Linked DNA regions of Arabidopsis thaliana. Changing the gene in region 1 together with any one later gene gives a genetic interaction. Each region holds a gene or a part of one and is shown on either strand. Other genes may lie near its edges.

The links.
Region 2: changes in ABCB19 (region 1) and PIN1 impair growth when combined (synthetic growth defect), as found in Arabidopsis thaliana (one study listed by BioGRID).

The regions. Positions count from the first base shown.
Region 1 is NC_003074.8:10,870,991-10,883,545, reverse strand, and holds the start of ABCB19 (ATP binding cassette subfamily B19), read left to right. Parts: upstream 1-5,967; 5' UTR 5,968-6,259; coding exon 6,260-6,514; intron 6,515-6,595; coding exon 6,596-6,650; intron 6,651-7,525; coding exon 7,526-7,701; intron 7,702-8,319; coding exon 8,320-8,520; intron 8,521-8,753; coding exon 8,754-9,013; intron 9,014-9,107; coding exon 9,108-9,424; intron 9,425-9,510; coding exon 9,511-9,734; intron 9,735-9,816; coding exon 9,817-10,636; intron 10,637-10,715; coding exon 10,716-10,957; intron 10,958-12,050; coding exon 12,051-12,555. UniProt on the Arabidopsis thaliana protein: Brassinosteroid exporter that, in conjunction with ABCB1, supports the accumulation of exogenous brassinosteroids (BR) in the apoplast, thus promoting BR signaling initiation involving the specific receptor BRI1 and required for plant growth and stress responses.
Region 2 is NC_003070.9:27,654,749-27,668,066, forward strand, and holds PIN1 (Auxin efflux carrier family protein), read left to right. Parts: upstream 1-4,924; 5' UTR 4,925-5,023; coding exon 5,024-6,269; intron 6,270-6,421; coding exon 6,422-6,656; intron 6,657-6,844; coding exon 6,845-6,930; intron 6,931-7,580; coding exon 7,581-7,738; intron 7,739-7,834; coding exon 7,835-7,911; intron 7,912-8,061; coding exon 8,062-8,128; 3' UTR 8,129-8,505; downstream 8,506-13,318. Other genes in the region: AT1G73580 (Calcium-dependent lipid-binding (CaLB domain) family protein), read left to right, coding at 93-212, 301-396, 480-770. UniProt on the Arabidopsis thaliana protein: Acts as a component of the auxin efflux carrier; this activity is enhanced when activated by D6PK-mediated phosphorylation.

The DNA.
Region 1 (12,555 bases):
CTTTTGTTTTTGGCAGCAATTAAAAATATATACATGTGATTACTTATATCACTAAAAATATGTGATTATTTATATCACCATGAAGTTTTAAAACGAGGACAAATAATATAATTTTAACTGAAGACATTACTATTATGAATCTATGATCAATGATATATGTATTAGCTTACATCTGAATGATATATGCGGCGAAACAGAAATGAAACATTTTTAGTCCGTTATCTCTTCCAGGTTTCAGTTTACAAGATTTGGAGGGAAAAAAATGGTCGAAGGCATGGGGAGACACCTAATACGCCAGCTAGACTAATCCGGTGGATTGATAAGCAAACCCGAAACACTCTTTCATCTATCAAAATTTTAGGGGACACGAGATATGATAAGGGACTTCAAATGTGGTTTGCTTCTAGAAGTTAGGAGCTTTTAATTTTGATATTCTTAGTGTTGTAACAAATTCAAATTCCGTCGCACTTGTTGTAACAACGATATTTGTTCTTTTAATATAATTTAACATTAGATTAAAAAAAAGAATTTAATTATCACATATTTCTAGTTCTTAGAAAGAAAGAAAAAAAAGGTCGTCGATCGGTCCTAATATTACGGAAGGTGTCGAATAAAATAGAGTGTGAGATAAGAGATATTTTTCTGCATAATGAAGAAATGCTAGATTACTGTTTTTAAGAATTTGGATATTGTTTATCAAAAAGAATTTGGATATTATAAAGAGTGTCCTTCAAAAGTGACAATGGCACCAAGACAAACTAATTAACTATAATTGTTTCAAAGCAAAAGTGATTAATCATTGGACCCTACAACCCCCATTCAAAGGCAAACAATGATAATTTGCAAACATGTTTTTATGAGTTGCTTGAATAAACTTATATAATTCATGTACTAAGTTTTATTACAATTAGTTTATTTTGTCAAATGTGATAATTATCAGTCTCTAATTAGGTGTATATATAAGAAACGTATGGTCAAAAGGTACTTTTGCTGAGTTTTAAGTACCTTTAACAACTAATAAAGTCTATGATAAAGAGAAATCTCACAAAGGTCATCAAACTAGTCGATCCCTTTTAATGTTTTTTATTATTAAAATTTCAATTAGGTTCGGCGAAAAGTAACAAAATAGGTTTAGTTATATAGATTTGATGCAAGACCTACATCTTTTAGCTTCTATTTGTAATTAAAAAATGGGTCCATGTGTCCTAACTTATTCTCTACAAATTTTACCATATGAAATTTTCTAACTTATTCTCTACAAATTTTAATTCTTCATAAACATAAATCATTTTGACAAAATAAATACTCATTTAAAAGTAGTTTATTTTTCTTCGAAAGTAATGGCTATGGTAAAATTCTAGGCCAAGTTTTGATAAATCTTAGGTCTTCAAATAGTTTTTTTTTCCAAAACAGATTATTAATAATGTACATATCTAATGACAATCAACTTCTAAAATTAGTAAAACTAGTTATTGTATATTCTGTCCCCCTACCAAACATCGATGCTTCCTCAGAAACAATAAAAAGCATTGCGTATAATATATACCACGATATCAAAATTATGTTTGGAAAAAAAACACACGTTAAACAAAGTATTTTGAAAAAAAATTCAATCAAGAGATCAAAAAAAGAAAAAAGAAAGAATGATTATAATAGGAGTAAACAGTAGACCACATCTTTTTCAGCACATCACATGCCCCGATTTTGGCCACAACCCAATCTTGAATCTTCTGTTAAACAATAATTATAGGAATATTTAAACACTTAATTATGATGCTTTGCTCAAGAAAAGGGGTGCAAACAACCAAAGCCACCTATCTACTATTTTATCTATTGTCTCTTGGCCACTTGGCCTATCAGTATTCACTATTTAGTAGTCATGAGTACTAAATAGTTAATCATAATTACAAAAAAAACTAAAAGAAAAATTGTTAAGAGATAGACGAGATAGCTGAAAACCAAATCAAAAGATTTCGAAATTACAAACCGAGAGTTTTGTAAAGAAAAATGTTTTGTATTTTCTGTATAAAATTTAATTGATATATTTCTATTTAATGAGTTATTTTGAAATTTAATTTATATTTTCAATGTAAAAGATTTGGTAAAAAAATATTCTATCTAAAAATCGAATTATAATCTTGGTGTAAAAACTTTAAGACAAGAATGTTTGGACAAATAAATTATTGAAAGACATCCAAGAAAAATTACATAATCCATGACTATGAAATTATATAACTAATGCCTTTCAGTTTTCACGTAAGGGACATATTTATGAATATACAACTTAGTCAGTTTGTAACTTTGTATGCCCTTATCTGTATAGTGGGTTTTGAATTAGGCCCAACTAAGTTAAGGCCCATAAACGGTGTATAAATATATATGTATAGATATAATTTATTTTATGTATATGAACACACAAACAGTGTATATATATATAACATGTATAATTTATTCTAAAACATCTTGGTCATATATAAACGTCTATAATTTCAAGAGAAAAGAAACAAAAGATGACAAATCAAACGAATATAATATCAAGAGAGAAACAAAACAAGATAAATCAGAATTTGATTGTGCATCCACACCAACCACTAACATGGCGGATTTAGTTACAATTATCACCTTACATGGTAAGCTATGATTCCATAAACATATATACCCTCATCATGCAAGAATTTAATATTGTACAATATTGTAGCACATGCGTGGACAATTATTTTTCACTATATAACACACACAAATATATATATATATATATATATATATAATTTTCATCAATATTAAACTCATATATTGAAAGAATATAAATTTGTATAATATTTTCATGACTTCAATTAATTATATCAAAATTTCGTATATCATTTAAAATTCATCACTGATTTTTGTTTAGAAAAAAAGATAGATAGCTATGGACATGACGTCGAATTTTAATATATCCTATGTAACAGTGTTCATATAATCAAAAAAGAAAAAATAATTACTATTGTTTGTGTTCTTTGCAACAATGCGTTAGAAACTCGGAGACCACTTGTTTTTTCTCTTATGATTTCGCTTCAGTATGATTTAGCAAAGCATCTCTACGGTACAAAATATCTTACGAATTGACATGATCTGATCCACACTATATCAAGGAGTTAGAAAGACAGAACTGAAAGCTTCTTAGCTCGATATGTATTTCAAGCTACGGTTCACACCATCTAGGGAGACAAGAATGGAAGAAGGCATGACGTCAAGTCGAACTATGCAGCTCTCTTACTTAAATGGGTCGACAAACAAATACGGAACCAACTATCATCCATTCGAGCAAGCGGTGATAGGTGGTATGACTAAGGTCTCTAAATTTGGTTTACGGCGAAAAATTAATTGATCAAAAAATTTTTGGTTTAGTGTTTTAAGATCTTTTTCAAAAAAACGTTGTATTTGATGTATAAACGCTATTTCTTTTTGAAATTAATTTAATATTATTTTTGTTTGAAAAGAAGAAGAAACATAATTCAAACAATCCCTATCTTTAATGTTCCAACATCTTAATAAATACATAATTAAAACTCTACGATCAATACTACACTTCTGACGATTATTAAATCGCATCGTCGTACACTATTATTACAAAGACCGTTCTATCTACATTAATATTCTTTATATATTTTTTTTTTTCATTTTTTGAGATTGTTGGAGTATATATCCTTAGATTTTCTTGTATATAAAAATAGATAATTATAATGGGATAAACGAAACATCGTTGAAGCCGTGAAGTGGCATTGGTCTACACCAGAGCAACACAAAAAGACAACCACTTCACATGGTCTGCTCTTACATTCATAACCGAATCTAAGTCACTTTTAGTTGGTTGTAATTTTGTAACTATTATTCCAACACCTCTTTTTTTACTTTTTAGATTGTTTTATAATAGAAATATTTTAATTCCTAAATTAATAATGAAAGTAAATGTAATATGAGTCAGTACAATATGTGAAAAACTTAAAAAGTTGACAGAATTTAGCATTTGATTAAAAGTGTATGAAGAAGAAGAAAAAAGAAGATCTTTTTGTATCTATAGATTTAGTGCATAACTTTTCTCAGATTTTCGATATATACAAGAATTTAACATAAGAAAAATCAAGACAAATGGACCTGGTTATAATCGGTTATCTGTTGTAAATATTATATTTCATATTCTTCTCCACTTCATAATTCTTATTGGAGTTCCTTCACCAAATGTTTGATGTTCCATTAAATTAATCTACCACTCTAATAAGAGGTATCGTACTACAAATTACACTTCATAAACAAGAGAAGAACATAAATTTGAATTTTTTTAAAAAAACATATGCGTTATAACACCAAACAGTAACGGACTAGCTGATCCTTGAATTTATATTAGTTGCAAAAATTTATATATCGAAATTGAAACATGAATTTTTAAAATTATTAGAAAATGTATGATGTTGTCTAAATGTGACATTACAAATACATGATGTTGTTTAAAAATTATTATAAAACAACCAAAGTTTGGCGTCATTCTGGTAAACGCACTTAATGAATTTATATACAGTTAAAGATTTTAACATCAAATTTTAAAATGACAACTTAACTAAAATTTGTATCCTAATATTTTTACTAGAGAAACTCACACATATTTTTCAAACAAATGATTAGTTATATATCCTTCGATAATAGGTATTGTGTAAAACTGTGTGGTTTGCACAAGTGATCCCTCGATATTCTTTCTGCTAAAGATCGACTTCCCACAGTTTCGATATCTCGGGTTTGGGTGCAATAGCATATGCTTGTTTAGTATGCAGATAATCGTATGAGAGAGTCAGAGAGATCATCTATTTTTCATGATATGGTCTGAGCTAATCGATCATTTGTTATTTATACTCGATAACGTTCTAATTTGTATGATTTTTCAGCCTTGATCTATCACAAAATGGAGATAATGAAATGGTAGTCATAAGAAAGGTAATGATCCCCTTGACATGCTTATTATAACACAAAAAGTAATCGCTACTGATTAGCTTACCCTATGATTTGAATCATATAACTTTATACTAATTGTCTAAGTGTGATGATATAATGTATATGATGTCATTTATAACTTATTAGTAAAAATATAAAGTTCTTCATCATTGTCATAAGGAGTTAATTGGATATACATCAAAAAATTTCCTAAATTTTTAGAAATTATTAATCAAGTTATAATAGAAATTATTAAATAAAATATATGATGTTTTCTAAATGTGACGATACAAAATACATGATGTTGTTCAAAACTTATTAGACAGAAACCAAAGTACATCATCATTGTGATGAAGACTTTAATGGATTTATACATTTCAAAGTTTTAAACATTACTTATTTAAATGAAAAATTGAGCTAAAATTTGTATACTTATATGTTGACCATAGAAATACTTCTATATAATTTTAGACAAGTTGTCTATACATATATATATATATATATATATATATATATATGTATTTACACAAAAATCAAGTTTTCTTAATGTAACAATATAAAAATATAAAATATCTAATGTTGTTTAAAAATTATTTAGACCAAAAAAAAAAAAAACTGTAATCAAACTTTCATTGGATTATATCTAACTCTAAACATGAATTTTTATACAATGACATGTTCAATAAAATTCCCATTTCATAGTTTGACCAGAAAAAATGCTTGCAGATTTGTTAAAATCTCTACTTATGCAAAACCATTGAATCACACCAGATTTTGATTTGTAGTACTTTAAAAATATTAATTGAACACAACATAACTTTAACAAAAAAGATCTTTATAAAAAAAAAACTTTCTAAAATGACATTAATTAACACAAATTAGTCAATTCAAACAATCCAATAAAATCAAAGTAAACCCTTAATTGTTTTTTTTTTCCATTTTACAAAATGTTAAACATTAATTACATCAACTAGCAACACGAATCTCTCAATCTCTCATGTCTCAATGAGTCTTTGACCACTAGTCTTCATCACTCTCTCTCCCTCCTATATATACCAATCACACCCTTCTCCAACCACACTCTCATTCTCTCTCTCTTCTCACCACTTCAAAACAAGACACTCGTAAAAGAGTTCTTGAACTTCACAAAACAATTGTCAGATTTTCAAGAAAAACTTTATAAAACAAAAAACATTTCATTCTTTCTCTCTCTCTCTCTCACTGCTCAATGATCTCGTTTTCTCACTAAACCAACTCGTTTCTTCTTACTTTCTTTAACTCGGATCTACAAAAAACCATGTCGGAAACTAACACAACCGATGCCAAGACTGTTCCAGCAGAAGCAGAGAAGAAGAAAGAACAGAGTTTACCATTCTTTAAACTCTTTTCTTTCGCTGATAAATTTGATTATCTCTTAATGTTCGTTGGTTCTCTTGGTGCCATTGTTCATGGCTCTTCCATGCCTGTCTTCTTTTTACTCTTTGGTCAAATGGTTAATGGATTTGGTAAAAACCAAATGGATTTACATCAAATGGTTCATGAAGTCTCTAGAGTAAGTCTTTTTTTTCTTTCTTGTTTTTATCAAATTAGATCCAAGATCTGATCTAATTTTTGTGTTTGTGAAATTTTGCAGTATTCTCTATATTTCGTCTACTTGGGTTTGGTCGTTTGCTTCTCTTCTTACGCAGGTTTGTTTCTTACAAATCCAATCTTCTTTTTCTTTATTCTTCAATCAAGAAACCCAGTAATTAAATCACATTATAAACAAGATCAAGAAATTTTTTGCACAAAAAAAAAAGAAAACAAGATCAAGAAATTAATAAAGTTTAGATTAAACATTTGCATTATTTTCTTTTTTTTGGTTCAACCAATTAACCCATTAACATAAATTAAATCAGATTATTAGGCAAGAAATCTAAAGGTGTATTTTTTGAGTTTTATTTGATTCTTCCTCAAAGTGACCATTTACTCTGAAGGTAAAACATTTTTTTTTACTCTACAACAAAAACCCAACTTCTTTTTTTGTTTGCTTCAAAATTATATTAAAAAAAGAAAGCTTAAACTTTGTTTAAAATCTTGTTTTTTTTGTCATTCGCTTTTGATTAGAACTAAAAAAACCATTTTTATAGAATGTTGTTTACATAAGTGATGTAATGGGGTTCGGAACGAACTTTCCGTGCCAACCGCTTTTATAGACAAGAAATCTAAAGGTGTAATTTTTGAGTTTTTATTTGATTCTTCCACAAAGTGATCATTTACTCTGGTAAACATTTTTTTACTCTACAACAAAAACCCAACTTTTTTATGTTTGCTTCAATAAATAAAAACCTAGAAACAGAAATCACAATCTAGAGAGAATCAAAATTATATATAAAAAAAAAACACTTCAAATTTTTAAAAATTTTAATATGTTAAAAGGATAAGCCAAGTCCACGTGATTCATGGACTACTACTTTGTCTATATCGAAAAAAAAAAAAAAATGGGCATCTCTCTCACATTTATTACAACTTCATAAAAATTCTTGTAATAATAACCATAATTTTTTGTTAAATAATTTTACAGAGATAGCATGTTGGATGTATTCTGGAGAAAGACAAGTAGCAGCATTAAGGAAGAAATATCTTGAAGCAGTATTAAAACAAGACGTTGGGTTCTTTGATACTGATGCTAGAACTGGTGACATTGTCTTTAGTGTTTCTACTGATACTCTTCTTGTTCAAGATGCCATTAGTGAAAAGGTAACCATTTTTTTTTTTACTACCAACAAAATCTAGTATTTACCGGCGGGTCCCATTTTTTTCATGATCAATCTTTATCAAAGTTTTGGGTCCGTTTATGTTAGCAACCGTCGTTTATCTTGCGCCTCAGGTGGTTAGGGAAGAAAAAAGACTATAGATTGATTTTTTTTTTTGTTAAAATAAAAGTTGGATTTTTTTCATAAGATTGTGAAAATAAGTAATTTTTTTTTACAAATTTGCTATAGAAATAGAGGATTTTTTTCACTATTTAACTAAAACTTAAATGATATAGTACTCATTTTCTTACATTTTTAATATAAAAATAGCTTCTTTTTTTCCATTGTGAAAAATATTTATTATGCAAAATAATGTTTCTTTAACAAGTAAAATAAATATTTGTTATTAAAAAAAATGTGTAAAGTACCTTCAAATTTTAATAGTACATTTTATCTAAAACTGTTTTTTTTTTTGCAATTTGGTCCTGTCTCTGTGGTGCACGTTAGCAAGCACGAGCTAACATGCACTGGGTCCCCTAGTTTCATTATTATCATCACTCTTTTTTATTGTTGATGAAGTGAATTAATAACAGAGTAGTTGAAAAAAAATTGAATTTCTCAGGTTGGAAACTTTATACATTACCTCTCAACATTTTTGGCGGGATTAGTAGTTGGATTTGTATCAGCATGGAAATTAGCTTTGTTAAGTGTTGCTGTGATTCCCGGAATCGCTTTCGCCGGAGGTTTATACGCTTATACACTCACCGGAATTACTTCAAAGAGCCGTGAATCTTATGCTAACGCCGGTGTTATCGCCGAGCAGGTAAATAAAGATTAAAGTTTGTTCCTTTATTTGTTTTATTTAATGCCCACCAACTGTTCGACGTAATGCTTTTTAACTGTTCTTAGGCTTGCTTCTTTGTACTTGATCTCTCAAATGATTTTTTTTTTTTTTCATTGCTTCTTATGCAATCCAAAGACTTAAACAGTGTTTTCACTAATTCAAAATCTTTGCTTTTCTTTGGTCGGTTAATGATTGATGTTTTGGTTTCTCAGGCAATTGCTCAAGTTCGAACTGTTTATTCTTATGTTGGAGAGAGTAAGGCACTTAATGCGTATTCGGATGCGATTCAGTATACGCTTAAGCTCGGTTATAAAGCGGGGATGGCTAAAGGGTTGGGTTTAGGATGTACTTATGGAATAGCTTGTATGTCATGGGCTTTGGTGTTTTGGTATGCTGGAGTTTTTATTCGGAATGGACAAACCGATGGAGGAAAGGCGTTTACTGCTATATTCTCTGCTATTGTTGGTGGAATGTAAGAATTCAAAACATAACAATGATGTGGTTTTGTGTATTTTGTGTTTTGTTATTACTTGGATGTCACTTTTTGTTTCTGTGTGTGTTTTTAGGAGTTTGGGGCAATCTTTCTCGAATCTTGGGGCGTTTAGTAAAGGTAAAGCGGCTGGTTATAAGTTGATGGAGATAATTAACCAGAGACCGACGATAATTCAAGACCCGTTGGATGGAAAATGTTTGGATCAAGTTCATGGGAACATTGAGTTTAAAGATGTGACTTTTAGCTATCCTTCACGGCCTGATGTTATGATCTTCAGGAACTTTAATATTTTCTTCCCTTCTGGGAAAACTGTGGCGGTTGTTGGTGGGAGTGGCTCTGGAAAGAGTACTGTTGTTTCCCTCATTGAGAGATTCTATGATCCAAACAGCGGTAATTTGATTGAATTTGTTTTTTGCTATTTGAGTCTTTGGCTAGTGACTGGATCATAACTTTGTTTATTTTTTCTTGATGAGCAGGGCAAATTCTGTTGGATGGTGTTGAGATAAAGACGCTTCAGTTGAAGTTTTTGCGTGAACAAATCGGGCTTGTGAATCAAGAACCTGCGCTCTTTGCCACTACTATACTAGAGAACATACTCTATGGAAAGCCTGATGCAACAATGGTTGAAGTTGAAGCTGCTGCTTCCGCTGCGAATGCGCATAGTTTCATTACATTACTTCCTAAAGGCTACGACACACAGGTATAAATCAAATATTTGATTATATGTCTAGTTAATGTCATGGCCTTTTGCTTAATTTTTTGTTGAATGTCAATACAATTAGGTTGGAGAACGTGGTGTTCAACTCTCAGGTGGACAGAAGCAGAGAATTGCAATTGCTAGGGCGATGTTGAAAGACCCAAAGATTCTGTTACTAGATGAAGCTACAAGCGCTCTTGATGCTAGCTCTGAGAGCATTGTTCAGGAAGCTTTAGACAGAGTCATGGTGGGGAGGACCACTGTTGTTGTTGCTCATCGTCTCTGCACCATCAGAAATGTTGATTCCATTGCCGTGATACAGCAAGGCCAAGTTGTTGAAACCGGAACACATGAAGAACTCATTGCCAAATCCGGTGCTTACGCATCCCTCATCAGGTTTCAGGAAATGGTTGGTACTCGAGATTTCTCAAACCCGTCAACTCGTCGCACTCGTTCAACCCGTTTGAGCCATTCACTGTCAACGAAATCACTCAGTTTAAGATCAGGAAGTTTGAGGAATCTGAGCTATTCTTACAGCACTGGAGCTGATGGTCGGATAGAGATGATTTCAAATGCAGAGACTGACCGAAAGACTCGTGCCCCTGAAAATTACTTCTACAGGCTTCTCAAGCTTAATTCACCGGAATGGCCTTACTCAATCATGGGAGCAGTAGGCTCAATTCTTTCTGGTTTCATTGGTCCTACATTTGCTATTGTGATGAGCAACATGATCGAAGTCTTCTACTACACAGACTATGATTCAATGGAAAGGAAAACAAAAGAGTATGTCTTCATCTACATTGGTGCTGGTCTCTATGCTGTGGGTGCTTATTTGATCCAACATTACTTCTTTAGCATCATGGGAGAAAACCTCACAACAAGAGTAAGAAGAATGATGCTCTCAGGTATGTATCAAAATCTCCTGAATTTGCTTAAAATCACTTTCCCATTTCTTATTTTGGTTTCTTGATTGTTCTTATTTAGCTATCTTGAGAAACGAAGTTGGTTGGTTCGATGAGGATGAACACAACTCAAGCCTGATCGCTGCACGTTTAGCTACTGATGCAGCAGATGTTAAATCCGCTATAGCCGAGAGAATCTCAGTAATTCTACAAAACATGACTTCACTTCTCACATCCTTCATAGTCGCCTTCATAGTAGAATGGAGAGTCTCACTTCTCATCTTAGGCACATTCCCACTTCTAGTCCTCGCTAACTTTGCTCAGGTAAATAATCTAATCTTTTTACTCAAAATCTTTCAATATTCATCAATCATTAAAATATAATTGGAATCTTGCATTCACCATTATGATCTTAAGAAAAAACGACAAAAGGCCAGATTTTTATAAATTTATATTTGCTTTTCAAAAGTTCAAAACTTTATAGAACATGGCAACACAGCCACTGCCTCTACACGTGCTTCATCTTCTAACTTTATCCAAGTTTGCATTTATGTTTACAATAATAATCATAAAAGAATTATTAAGAAGCTTTTTTTTTCTACTTTTTGGAAATAGTGTAAGGGTCAAGATCATGGAGCCCTCACATCAATAAATGTGCTAAAAAAATTAAAAAACAGTAGGCTTTAGTTTACTCTCTGGGCATGTGTGAAGAATATTTATTATATAGTTTCTATTGGTACTATGACCCATAGATAACAGTGTTCACGAAAATAGCTAAGATTCCTCTGTCTTTTGCTTCTGCTAAATCTATCCTACTTTAAGCTTTCATATTTACTTCACTCTCTGAACTCTGAACTGTGATCCCACTTCTCTCTTTATTTAATTCTTTTGCCCATAAAACCTCACCACAAAAATCCAAAAAATCTGCAATTTTTTTCCTTCTTAGAACCAATATTTTATTTAGAGTTCTTCATTGGTCAAAGTTGTTGTCTCAGTGCATTATTTACTTATCACAGTGTGTGTGTCAGTGTTTTTACACCATCCACTAGTCAATGTTTGCTTGTGGGTTTCTTTGTTTTGGTAGATTAGGTTGTGATGAGTTTTTTTTTTGTTTCTAACTAGCTGCAAGGTTCAGGACTCTGCTTTGATATATCACCAACATTTTTTCACCCGTGATCTAATTATTAGTTGAAAAATCTATCAAATAGATTTCACACAGAAGAACATAGATAGGCATTGTACTTGTACTGATGTTGATGGGATAGAGTGTTGCATATGTGATTTAACTATATGGTTCTACGTCATGTTTTAGTGGCGACTTAGACCTTTGATTGTCAATCTTATTTTTTACAAGTGAACTATTATTACCATCTGTTGTTCTAAATCATAAGTATTAATATATGTGGCTACATTGCAGCAACTATCTCTGAAGGGTTTTGCTGGAGACACAGCTAAGGCTCATGCAAAGACTTCAATGATTGCTGGTGAAGGAGTCAGTAACATTAGAACCGTAGCAGCTTTCAATGCACAGAGCAAGATTCTCTCTTTGTTCTGTCATGAGCTTCGTGTACCTCAGAAAAGAAGCTTATACCGAAGTCAAACCTCGGGTTTCCTATTTGGCCTCTCGCAGCTTGCTCTCTATGGTTCTGAGGCTTTAATTCTCTGGTATGGTGCCCACCTTGTGAGTAAAGGCGTGTCAACCTTTTCCAAAGTGATCAAAGTGTTTGTGGTTTTGGTCATTACTGCAAACTCTGTTGCTGAAACTGTCAGTCTTGCTCCTGAAATTATTCGGGGAGGTGAAGCTGTTGGTTCGGTTTTCTCGGTCTTGGACAGGCAGACCAGGATTGACCCGGATGATGCTGATGCTGATCCCGTGGAGACGATCCGTGGAGACATTGAGTTTAGGCATGTTGATTTCGCTT
Region 2 (13,318 bases), on another chromosome or scaffold:
TTCGAGTAGTAGCCACATTTCACTTTCATCTATACAGATTCTGATTCGTTCGTTTGAATCAGTAATCGCGCATCTCGTCTCGTCGGAGAAGAATGTCGCTTATGGATAATCTGTTAGGTATCCTCCGCGTTCGTGTCCAACGCGGTGTCAACCTCGCCGTACGTGATGTTTCCAGCAGCGATCCTTACGTCGTCCTCAAGCTAGGTCGTCAGGTTCTCTCTCTCTCACTTTCTCTCTCGTTTTCCTCAAACTTCAACGATTAATTTTTTCAAAAACTCATAATTCATATTTCTTTTGCAGAAACTCAAAACCAAAGTGGTGAAGCAAAACGTAAACCCACAATGGCAAGAAGATTTGTCATTCACAGTAACCGACCCTAATCTCCCGCTTACTCTGGTAAATTCCAAATCAAACCACTACTTTCTAAACCGTGGACCGGTCTACAAATTAACACATCGAATTTGCTTAAATCAAAACAGATTGTGTACGATCACGACTTCTTCAGCAAAGACGACAAAATGGGAGACGCAGAGATCGATTTGAAACCGTACATCGAAGCCTTACGAATGGAACTCTCCGGTTTACCAGACGGAACCATCATATCGACCATCGGTCCAAGCCGTGGCAACTGCTTAGCCGAGGAAAGCTACATCCGTTGGATCAACGATCGAATCGTTCAGCACATTTGTCTCCGACTCCGTAACGTCGAGCGTGGTGAAGTTGAGATTGAACTCCAATGGATTGATCTTCCCGGTTCTAAAGGCTTGTAAACAATTTTCGAAAGTTACCTTATTGGGCTTTTTAAACTTATTTATTGGGATAAGCCCATTATATAAATATAATATGAGGCCTATGATCCGATTGGATTCGGTCTGGAGTTATTTTTCACAAATAAACATTTGAAATATTTATGAACATTATGATATTGAAGTATGAATGTGTGTGTGAAACCATTGGGTTTGTGTCTGCCCAAGGCGGCACGAATTTTAGTGATTGATGTTTAGTTTGAAGGAATCGTGAGGACAAAGATATTTTACTTTCGTATATTCTTTTATTTTATTTTTCTCTTTTGGTTTTTCCTTTTAACGAAGTGAAGAAAATGAAAAAGAAAGAGATGAAAAAGATAACTTTATTGCAGCAATAGCAGCTTTTGAGGAACACAAATTTGTATTTTGAAACGAAGTAAGAAAAAGTTGGTAATTTTTCAGATCCTTTTAAATATTCTCTGTTCTATTTCTATATATTCTTTTATAGGTTCAGCCTTTTAGAGAACCCAAAACCGTGCAAAAAAAAAGATTAAATTTTTAAAAAATATATGTTTAGCGAAAGCATCTATATATGCTTTTTTCACATTGATTCGTAGCCGTAGATCGGTATTTGGTCTGATGTTTTCTTTTGGTCGGGGGAAACTTTCGAAATTGTAAAATAGACCCTTTATTATTGATTCGTTTCTTAAACATCCCCTATGTTTTATAATCATGACGAAAGTAGATAATGAAAAACATTTGAGTTGGAGCTTAATGAAGCTGACAAGTGTCACGCCTCTACTTTAATTTTCCCATTTTACCCTCATCCATCATTAACTTCTTTTACGCATGCCCCTCCTGTTTCTCGCTCTGTTCTTTCTTCTACTCCTTTATTGTTTTCTTCACGTTTATAACTATTTGTTGATTATTTCACTTCAACATCGTATTAAAAATAAGTTAAAGACAAATTAAATAGAGTAAACCCATTCATAAAAACAACATAATCATTAAGGCTGAGTCGGATGATATGTGAATAGCCTATTTTTCCGGATATCCTCCAAATCAAGTTTTATGTCGTCGATTTGTGTGTGTGTGTCCATCATCTGTTGTATTTGTTCAAAAGGGCTTAAAACATTTCGTACCAAACATGAATCTTCATTAGTCATCATCCGTTCATTAGTGGGATTATTTGTTTTGATTACAATTACAAGGCATGCTTTAGCGAAGCGTGTTTAAGCACAAACGCATGGACCTTCAACATGCATTATTTTCGGGTTGCGTGAAAAGCTATGCTTACATTGTACTAACTTTTAATTAAATTAATCATTAAGTTGATTTCTTTTAATTTCATGCAGTTGTATACGGTACTTATGAGTTCTGATTGATAACCAAACTATGAAGTTTTCTTTTCTGATTCATAATTTATCCATTTGAGTTTTTTATTCAACCGTCTATTTCTAATTGATTCTACAACAATTAGTCACCCAATGACTATGAGACTCATAATAGTTTGAATAATTAAACTATACAATTGTGGCAAATGGCTATGCATAAAAACAACATCTTTTGTAATTTTTAAGGCGTGAGGAAGATGTATAAAGTGAATAACCTACTTTTCAAATACAACGGCTAGCTGGACATCTCGCTATATATTGTTATTCAAGTCTTATTTAGGTTTTGAAAAATAATCAAGTACAATAATTTTCTTTCTCATGAATGTTAAACCGAATAGAGAAGCCAAGCAAAGATATAAAAAATACAATGGGAGGCTTCCACCGTAGACAGTCCAATGATCATCTACATTTCGACCATTAACCAGTAACGACTAACGAGAATCAATATCAAATATTTTCTTAAACTCGGCAACCATTAATCTTCTGTTGATAAACTTTAAAAAAATTCATTATAGTAATCTTTTTATTTATCTTTTAGCCAATAAAAAGATTAGTCAAATTTGTAAATTATTCCATTGGCGTTGTCGCCAAAGTTTCATTTCAAAACCACATAGTTAGTTTATACTTCTTATTAAAAAAGAATTATGAGTTCGAGCGATTTTGTTAACTAGTGATATTTCGGTCTATATAAATTTTGAAGAAAACCCAAAAGAAAGCATAATTTGATGCAAAACATGTATCCACTTATCATTCCCATTGATTAACGTATTTATTGAGATTAGTTTGTCGACTTTTAGTATCAGCCATAAGACTCACTTTATGTATATTAAAGCAGGTCAATATAGATCATAAAGTGTTAATTAGTCAAAATTTGCTTTATTAAACCAAACTATCTTACTCTCTTTTCCATTTTTCCCGTTTCAAGTGTTTGCTAAAAGATCAATTTTAATTTTCTCGTTTCAAGTATTTGCTAAAAGGTCATCCATCACCCATAACCATAAGTCAAGCCGTGCAAACATAGAGTATTAGAAAAAACGTTAATTTGAGTTCAATATTACACAAAGTCGCAGTTGTAACAAGGATTTGCACAACAAAAGATTGAAAGATTAATGGATTAGTGACAAATAATTTGAAAGATCCAAAATATCATTAACTATATGGAATGTGAAAAAATCCTGCAATTTTTTTTTTTTTTTTGCCGTGTTAAAAATTCAATTCTTTCAAAGAACCAATTTTAAAATTATTTGTCAGTAAAAAAAAATAGAAACTACTTGATTTATAATTTTTAATAGAAAAATGATGTTAAGTCATCAACTCTTTTATTTTTTCGTAACTTCTCAACATATTTACTTTATTCGGATTGCATAACCTACTTTTTTTGTGTGTATAGTCTCTTTAAGCGCAAGAAATGGCAAGGAAAGTCGAATTATATTAGTACTATATATTATTATTATGCTTAAAAAAAAGTTGAAAACATTGGAAAAATAAAAAGCTGGAAAGAAAAAAAAAAGAAGAACTGTGTTTGTATGGGATGATGAGAAAAATGAAGAGCAGACTGTTGATGGAATATTGTGTTTCCTCAAATATCAACACTCCTCATTATATCATCAACCCATTGCTTTTTGTACGGACTTTATTAGTAGTATTAAAGAACACATCAGACTGATTTGTGTAAGCAAACCAGAACCACCCTCTTTTCAACATTTTTCTTTCAAAAAACTTCTACGTATTTATGTTCAATAAAACTTTGTTACTAATTTTCTCAACGAAATATATTTTATAAAACTTTGTTAGTAATGTTATACAGTAAACAGTAAAAGAAAATAAGTTCCAAGATGAGCGATCAAAGGATTGAATAGTTCATAAATAATTCGTATGCGCAACTACAACTGTAAATGATAACCTATGCAATGATAACTCACACACACCCATCTCACATGAAAAAGTGATTTCGACCTTATGTTAGTGATATCACATCTTTTCTTTTATCTCCACCCACAAAGTCTTTGGTTAGGAACTAGTTTGTTCAATTGCAACCATTTTTCCAAAGACTTTCAACCTCTCTTCGGAGAAGACTTCTATCTTTAAAACCAAAATTTTCTAAGTTCATATAAACATCAAATCGAGCCTTATATCATCACTTCAATGTGTATTTATCTTCTGTTGTGATTTATCAATTGAAAGTCAATACCAAAAATCCCATCATACTAATCACAATAATTTATAGCAAAAATAAATTTAACAATTTTTAAACATGGTAAAAATATAAATTTAATAATTAGTATAGGGGATAAATTGATCAACCGAATAGATTAATTCATAATTTGAAAAGGCCAAAAAAAAAAGAGAGAGGCAAAAACAGAGGCTCTGCTTTGGACTCCGCAAAGCGCACAAGGCCGCCTCTTTCACTATCCCCAAAGCTCCACCACGCACCCATCAACCACCATTTTTATTTCGTTTTTATTACATTCAAAAAAACTTCTTTTTGTCGTATTTCAATCAAAATTACATCACACACACTATTATGTTGGAATGTTTAACAAAACAAATAAATATGTTGAGCTATTCCAATTTTACATTTAATGTTTTTTTACTCCTACACGTAAACTACTTTTGAATATAATATCTAGAAACTAACCAAATAATCGAAAACGAAAATAATAAAATCAGCAAACAGTTTTAGCTTCATTAACAAAATATATATATGTTTAATTAAAAAATATGGTATTTTCTCAACGGACAAAAAAATAAAATAAAAAGAATATAAAAATGTGGTCTCTTCTCAACACTCACTTTACTCTTTTTTCCCTCTTCACCACTTCTCTCTCAAACTAAAGACAAAAGCTCTTCTCTCTTCCCTCTCTCTTCTCCGGCGAACAAAAGATGATTACGGCGGCGGACTTCTACCACGTTATGACGGCTATGGTTCCGTTATACGTAGCTATGATCCTCGCTTACGGCTCTGTCAAATGGTGGAAAATCTTCACACCAGACCAATGCTCCGGCATAAACCGTTTCGTCGCTCTCTTCGCCGTTCCTCTCCTCTCTTTCCACTTCATCGCCGCTAACAACCCTTACGCCATGAACCTCCGTTTCCTCGCCGCAGATTCTCTCCAGAAAGTCATTGTCCTCTCTCTCCTCTTCCTCTGGTGCAAACTCAGCCGCAACGGTTCTTTAGATTGGACCATAACTCTCTTCTCTCTCTCGACACTCCCCAACACTCTAGTCATGGGGATACCTCTTCTCAAAGGCATGTATGGTAATTTCTCCGGCGACCTCATGGTTCAAATCGTTGTTCTTCAGTGTATCATTTGGTACACACTCATGCTCTTTCTCTTTGAGTACCGTGGAGCTAAGCTTTTGATCTCCGAGCAGTTTCCAGACACAGCAGGATCTATTGTTTCGATTCATGTTGATTCCGACATTATGTCTTTAGATGGAAGACAACCTTTGGAAACTGAAGCTGAGATTAAAGAAGATGGGAAGCTTCATGTTACTGTTCGTCGTTCTAATGCTTCAAGGTCTGATATTTACTCGAGAAGGTCTCAAGGCTTATCTGCGACACCTAGACCTTCGAATCTAACCAACGCTGAGATATATTCGCTTCAGAGTTCAAGAAACCCAACGCCACGTGGCTCTAGTTTTAATCATACTGATTTTTACTCGATGATGGCTTCTGGTGGTGGTCGGAACTCTAACTTTGGTCCTGGAGAAGCTGTGTTTGGTTCTAAAGGTCCTACTCCGAGACCTTCCAACTACGAAGAAGACGGTGGTCCTGCTAAACCGACGGCTGCTGGAACTGCTGCTGGAGCTGGGAGGTTTCATTATCAATCTGGAGGAAGTGGTGGCGGTGGAGGAGCGCATTATCCGGCGCCGAACCCAGGGATGTTTTCGCCCAACACTGGCGGTGGTGGAGGCACGGCGGCGAAAGGAAACGCTCCGGTGGTTGGTGGGAAAAGACAAGACGGAAACGGAAGAGATCTTCACATGTTTGTGTGGAGCTCAAGTGCTTCGCCGGTCTCAGATGTGTTCGGCGGTGGAGGAGGAAACCACCACGCCGATTACTCCACCGCTACGAACGATCATCAAAAGGACGTTAAGATCTCTGTACCTCAGGGGAATAGTAACGGTATAGTCCCTCTATAACTTTGTTGTTTTGTTTTCGCACCCTAATTTATTTTCTTTACAAAAACACCCCCAAAATTTCTCTATGTCCTTCGATATTTATGATTTGGTTAAGGGGTTCTTTAATTGTTTACATGTGTTGTTGCCTTACTTTAGACAACCAGTACGTGGAGAGGGAAGAGTTTAGTTTCGGTAACAAAGACGATGATAGCAAAGTATTGGCAACGGACGGTGGGAACAACATAAGCAACAAAACGACGCAGGCTAAGGTGATGCCACCAACAAGTGTGATGACAAGACTCATTCTCATTATGGTTTGGAGGAAACTTATTCGTAATCCCAACTCTTACTCCAGTTTATTCGGCATCACCTGGTCCCTCATTTCCTTCAAGTACTGTTTCAAACTTGTCTTATTTTCACTTTACTTTGGTTTTGGTCTACTATTTTAACCACTTTCTTGATGCATAAAGGGTCAGCCTTGAATGCGTATATGTTTGAAAGTTTTTTCTGATAGATTGAAGTAACAAAAGATTTGAGAAAGATCTCTTTATTGGAATTAAATTGATGTGGTCTGTGCAGGTGGAACATTGAAATGCCAGCTCTTATAGCAAAGTCTATCTCCATACTCTCAGATGCAGGTCTAGGCATGGCTATGTTCAGTCTTGGTCAGTTCCTTTTTCTCTTTTCTTTTATTTTTACCTCTTTTCATTTATTACATAATTAAATACCATAAAACAGTCAATTGTTCTCTTTATTTCTGACCTTCATTCTTTATGGTGTTTTTTAAATTTTAAATGATTTTAAGAAAAAAAACAAATCATGTGGAAGCATGATTCTCTCTGTTTTCTTTTTCTTTGAAGTTTTTTTGAAACATGTTTGTATCAAAAAAGCAAACAAAACTGGCTTCACAGCAGAAAGCATGCTCCACAGTTCTCTGCTTATCATCATAACATGTCTCTCCCTTGAATAGGAGGAACCATTTTTTATTTTCTCTTAAAGCAACAAACAATTTTTTTATACCTAATATTGACCCCCTTATCGATGAAAAAACTTTCTTTTTTACCTTGTTTATGTTTCAGTAGACTTCCATCAACTGATTATAAAATTTGTGCTTAATCATGACTTTATGGAATGAATAGTTTAGGATAACGATAATGATGATGTTAATGTTGTGGTGGTGGATCAGTGGCTGTGATGATTATTTTTATGTCACTCTTTTGCAGCTAAAAACAGTGTATAAACTTAAATTAACCAAAAAGCAAAACAATAATAAATTATTTGTTTAAATTTGTGGCTTTTTTTGGATGTGTTAAAGGGTTGTTCATGGCGTTAAACCCAAGAATAATAGCTTGTGGAAACAGAAGAGCAGCTTTTGCGGCGGCTATGAGATTTGTCGTTGGACCTGCCGTCATGCTCGTTGCTTCTTATGCCGTTGGCCTCCGTGGCGTCCTCCTCCATGTTGCCATTATCCAGGTAGTTTTTATTTGCATGATCAAATATGAAACACTTCTGTTGTGTCTACTGTCGTTTATACGATTTCTAACCATTATTTTTATTGACAACAAACAGGCAGCTTTGCCGCAAGGAATAGTACCGTTTGTGTTTGCCAAAGAGTATAATGTGCATCCTGACATTCTTAGCACTGCGTAAGTTTATTAATCTATTAAATAGTTTTGTTGTTATAACAATAAATTTTGTTGTAGAAAAAAAGTTAGGTTGGTTTTGCCTACATTAATTATGATTAGGTGTATATATAAATATATTTTTGTTAACGTGAGTTCTGATTTTTGTTGCAGGGTGATATTTGGGATGTTGATCGCGTTGCCCATAACTCTTCTCTACTACATTCTCTTGGGTCTATGAAGAGATATTACCAAAACACAGGGACTTTGTTTTATTCTTTTGTGGGATGATGAATTGTGAAAAGAACAATGCCCTTTTTGTTGAAAACCCACAAATTAAATCAGAAGCAGCTTTAGAGAATCTTTGAGGATAATTGAAGCTCTTGAAGAAGAGAAGAAGAAGGAGACTTAAGTAGGAGCTCAGCAAGTTTTACCTTTTTCTTAATTTTAATGAACATTCGTGTTTCCTCTTTTGGTAGGTTTTAGGAATTTGTAAAAGCTTTGGCTACTTTTAGTGAATTAAAAACGTTAAGGAAAATATCAAATTTTGTGTGCATGCTAAAAGTGAATTGGTGTGTATAGGTCTAAATCTCACCAAAATAAGAAGTGTTTTAGCCATTTCAAAAGTTAAGTTCACTTAACATTTCTATGTTTCGTTTGCCTAAATGTGAAAAATCAGAAACTAAAACAGTAAAGTACATCTTCCACAAAATGTTTGAGAAAGGGATTTCTACGGGGGATTTGGGAAAATTTAAAACGTAGTCATGAATATTAGAAACTTTACAATAGCTTAGGTGGGAAGGTATGAAATAGCATGTGACTATAACAACACAGACGACACGAGTATTGGATTCAACAGAACACTCGATTAAATATGTAGAAGATAGGGGACTTGGTGCATGCGTTACGTTATTCGACTTGGTCAAGATTCCTCTTCACTGCGTTTGTGGAATCTTGAAAGATTCGTTTAGTGTTGTCAATTGTGTATCCTTTTACCGATTCTTCTCAGAATCATTACATACCACTTAGATGCTGATGCTTTTTATGAATAAAAACAAACCTTCATATTTATACGACGATCTTATATAATGATAAATCAAATGTATAATACTTAACTTGGTTTGAATTGTACTCTCGACATGAAAATCATTTAATTGCTAAAAATATTGGCTTGATTTAAATATGTGGAATGATGAATTTTTATTTATTTTAGTTACCAAATGAATTTATTAGAAAGTGAAATGACTGTATACAAAACAAAAATAAAAATAAAATTGATAGTAATAAATATATGAAGGCGTAATAATTAGAATGAGGAAAATAGTTAAAGAAAGCGACCCTAAATTTATGGCACGCCTCACCCTCACGTAAAAAAAAACCATCATTTTATTCTGCATGAGACGGCTGTAGCCGCCGTTGCATTCTTCAAATTTTCAATGTTTCCAATTAATAAAACTATTATTATAGCTCGATTTGTAAATATTTAAGCCTGCAATTCACATTGTTCAAATTCATAAAATAAAAAAAAACAAAAGTAATGGGTGAGGAATAAAAAGAAGAATGAGACAAGAGAGAAGAAGAAGACGCCGTGTCACTTCGCTTTCCTACTACAACACCAACATTTCTCAGAAGCTTCTAATTCTGTGTTCATTCTCTGCTCTCAATCAATGGTCTTCACCATTTATTGAAAAATATACGTGAAAATCTAATATTTCAGAAATTTGATAAACCATGCATATGATATAACTATCATTTAGTCTAAAGCCTTTAATTTTGGACCCATGAGATTTTGATATTACATGAGATATTTGAAAGGATCGAGGTTTTCTCATAAAGAAGTTTTTTTTTTGTCGGACTCATAAAGAAGTTAATCTCGTCACGGAAAAGATTTCGTATTTACTTAAGATTTTTAGTGAAATTTTAAAAAAAAATTAAATGCAAAGGATGACGTAAAAAAGTATAAGGGTATAAACGTAATTTCGTAAGGTCATAGTTGCAGATGTTAGTGTCTCTGCCTGCCACTAGACGGTGTTGGGTCGGCCGTCGCCCAGACAGAGTATTGAGAGCTTTTTGTCATTTGTCTTTTTCATTTTATTTTTGGGTATTATTTATTTATTTTACTATTGATTCTGTTTTTTTTTTTTCAAAATGTGATTGTATTTTGCTTTTGTTACATTTTTTTTCGCCCGAAGAGATTGTGAGAAAAAAAGAAGATTTTCCTTTTCTTTTGTACGGGTAATTAGATACGATATGACGACCAATAAAAACATAATTGCTTTGCTTTTTTTTGCGATATACAATACTATACAATATATTGGAAAAACTAATTTATAGTATCATTATTTACGGCTTTATCTTCACCTAATTATTTAATAAGATATTGGAAGTCGACACATGATTTGTCATTACACTGCTCCATCGATTATTTTTTTCATTTCTAAAAATACGGCCAATATTTTCCTCTGTCGTGACCAAATAGGTCAACAACAAATTTGAATATTAAACTGAAAAGACGTATACATAATGAAAAAAAAGTAACGTTTTTTTCATCGAAGATAAAAGGATTCAACCATTAAAAATATATATTTTAAGATTTGAAGACCGGCTTTACACGTATACATTATCACCACAATCCCATAAACTATTTTTATATCATATGTTTGAGTGACGGTAATTCCTTTTGTCGCGTTTAAAACATTGGTCGTTTGTTGCACGTGAAAACATACTCCGACTTACTAAAACCCTAAGGATTTACTAAAATAGAGTTATCTTATCTGTCTTCTAAAACTATAGTGAATTAGAATCTTTTTATAAACTAACAAATAAATACAAATGCGGCTTTGAATTCGAGGAACAATCCTTGCTCCCATGTGCACGCCTACACACATACACTACACATTCCTATATCCTAACGTAACAACAAACTAGTTTATGTGCAGGGTCGACTCTGAATAATTTTGGGCCAAAGACTTTTAAATGAAGCTTTAGAAAATTTGGGCTAAAAAAATAAAAAATAATTAATTTTGGACCATTTTGGCTAGTATAATTTCAGAATGTTTTTTGAGGCCACAGCAATTGTTTCACTGGGCTGTGATCAGGGCGGCCCTATTTATGTGATGCTGTTGCTGTTACCTTCGTCGTTATTTGTAACTAATATAAGCTTTTTAAAAAATGTTTGAATCATATGATTAGTCCAGACTCCAGGGTCTTACATTTCTTTAGCCCATTTACAGTAATCCATCAGAAGGCTGTAGACTCCAGGTTGCTGGGTTTTAATTTCTGAAAAGAATTGTATAATACATTATATACACAATATTGGGCCAGAAGGTTATAATGGGCTTATCTTATTCTTAGAGGCTTCTACAAAGTAGCTAATTTAGTCTATTTTATTAACGGGAGCACTTTTTGTATTTTTGGCAGCTGAAACACACATAGCATCATTTTTTTTTTGATAAATAACACACACAGCATCGTTCAGGTGTTCTACTCAAATCATTGTGGATTCGTCGAAAAGAATTGAAATTGAGAAAGAGATAGCGAAAACAAATTTTAAAACTTTATATGAATCAACTCCAACTGAATAAAACTCGCATAAAACCAAATTCTTATATTCTTTGAAAAACCGTAGTAATATATCTTAATTCTCTAGATAATTTCATCTTTGAATATCTAACGACTTGGTCGATAGCCTTTCTTAAGGTATATGTCTTGCATAGTGTCTAGGTTCATTTGGTTATTGTACACTGGTATAAACCAGTTCAATAGTTTTATTATCTATTTCTTGTTAAGGGGGTCGGTTTAACTCACATCTGAGTCTGTATATAAACTGCTCCATGTATATTTTTCCATAATTAATGAGAATGAGATTTATTTTGTTCCTTTGATAAAATGGTATCAGAGCACAAACGGTTCTAACAAACTTTTTCTCACCATATTTTTATATGATGTAAATGAGATCGCTAATAAAAACACCATCAATATATTCATCACAATCAGATAAGTTTGTCAGTAGATATCTCGACGTTCCCAGATATATTTTTTTCTCAACCAAAAGTTATTCATCGGTGATTGCAAAAACTGCCGAACAGTATTATGAAACCCTACATAACATAAAAGGTTTCAAAAACTTCAGAAACATTGAAACAATTTGTGAAGAAATGAAAAGTCGTTAAGATATTGACGACTTGAAGTCGAAAGACTTTTCTGTCGAGTAAACCCACTGTATATTTTATAATGTTATATTTGCTTTCGAATCTTTTGTTTATTTAACTGTTAATCTACTTACGTCTTACGGGTCTGATGTAGTGAGAATCTTCATATGTAGCCCCAAGACAAGGAGAAATATAAACATAAATAAGAAGAAAAATAGGAATCATGGGTGGGGGACCAGAATAGGCTCCCAATTGGGGATAATAATTCGTTATTTAACCCTAAATCATCGGGTGAAAAATAACAAGGTCCTATCATTAACCCCATGTGTAGAATTCTTAACTAGTATATATTGTCCTTTGCATATACTTTTATAGAAAATTATAAATATTACCAAGGCAAGTAGGCAAATCAAAAGAACAAAATTGATTTATAATGGAGTGTAGGCTCATTATTCATTAGAACCACTACCTATAGCTAGTCTATTTAAACATCTAGTGATTTTCTTAGCGGTCGCTGTCTTTAAATCTTTTAAATTTAGGTTTTTTTATTTATTGAATTTAGATTGTTTGATTTTTTTTTCTTCTGGTTGTTCAGTTATATTCACTTGATTCGTATACGTACTTTACTTATCTTGTGACTGAAGACTAAAAATTAATAATGGAATTGTCTTCATTTGTATAAAGTAGATATTTTACAGAATATAAGTTAAAGAAGGAAATTTTGTCCAAAAAAAAAAAGTTAAAGAAAGAACATACGACTAGAAAAATATCCAAGAAAATTATGTTTTAAGGAATTTTTTTAATGTTAATTGTAAAAGTAAATAACATTTTCTCATAAAATTTAAAATTAACGAAGAAAAATGTGAATGATGAACGATCGTTTGTTACGGTTGGAGTGGTACATTCACAAGAATCACAACAAGCGGCAATCATATTTATTGCTTTCATTATTTGCTCATTTATTTAAATTTTTGCACTAAAAAATCAACCAAGTTGTGGTCCAAAGAAAGATAGTAGACCCACTAATTTCCCATTATATGGATCTTAGCAGTGTCAAGTGGTTCGCCTAATTTCCTTTTCCCCCCCACATTTTCTTTTAGCTTTTGTTTACTTGTTTCTTGTAGAATTAACAACACCTTGATATTTTTTGTGTTGTCTTGTTCTCGATTAATGTTGTAGGATCTCTCTAACCTAACGGGCATTACTAATCAAAAATCTTCAAAAGCGATGTAAATAAAAGATATGTAGGTCGGACTCATGAATATTCATATATATATATA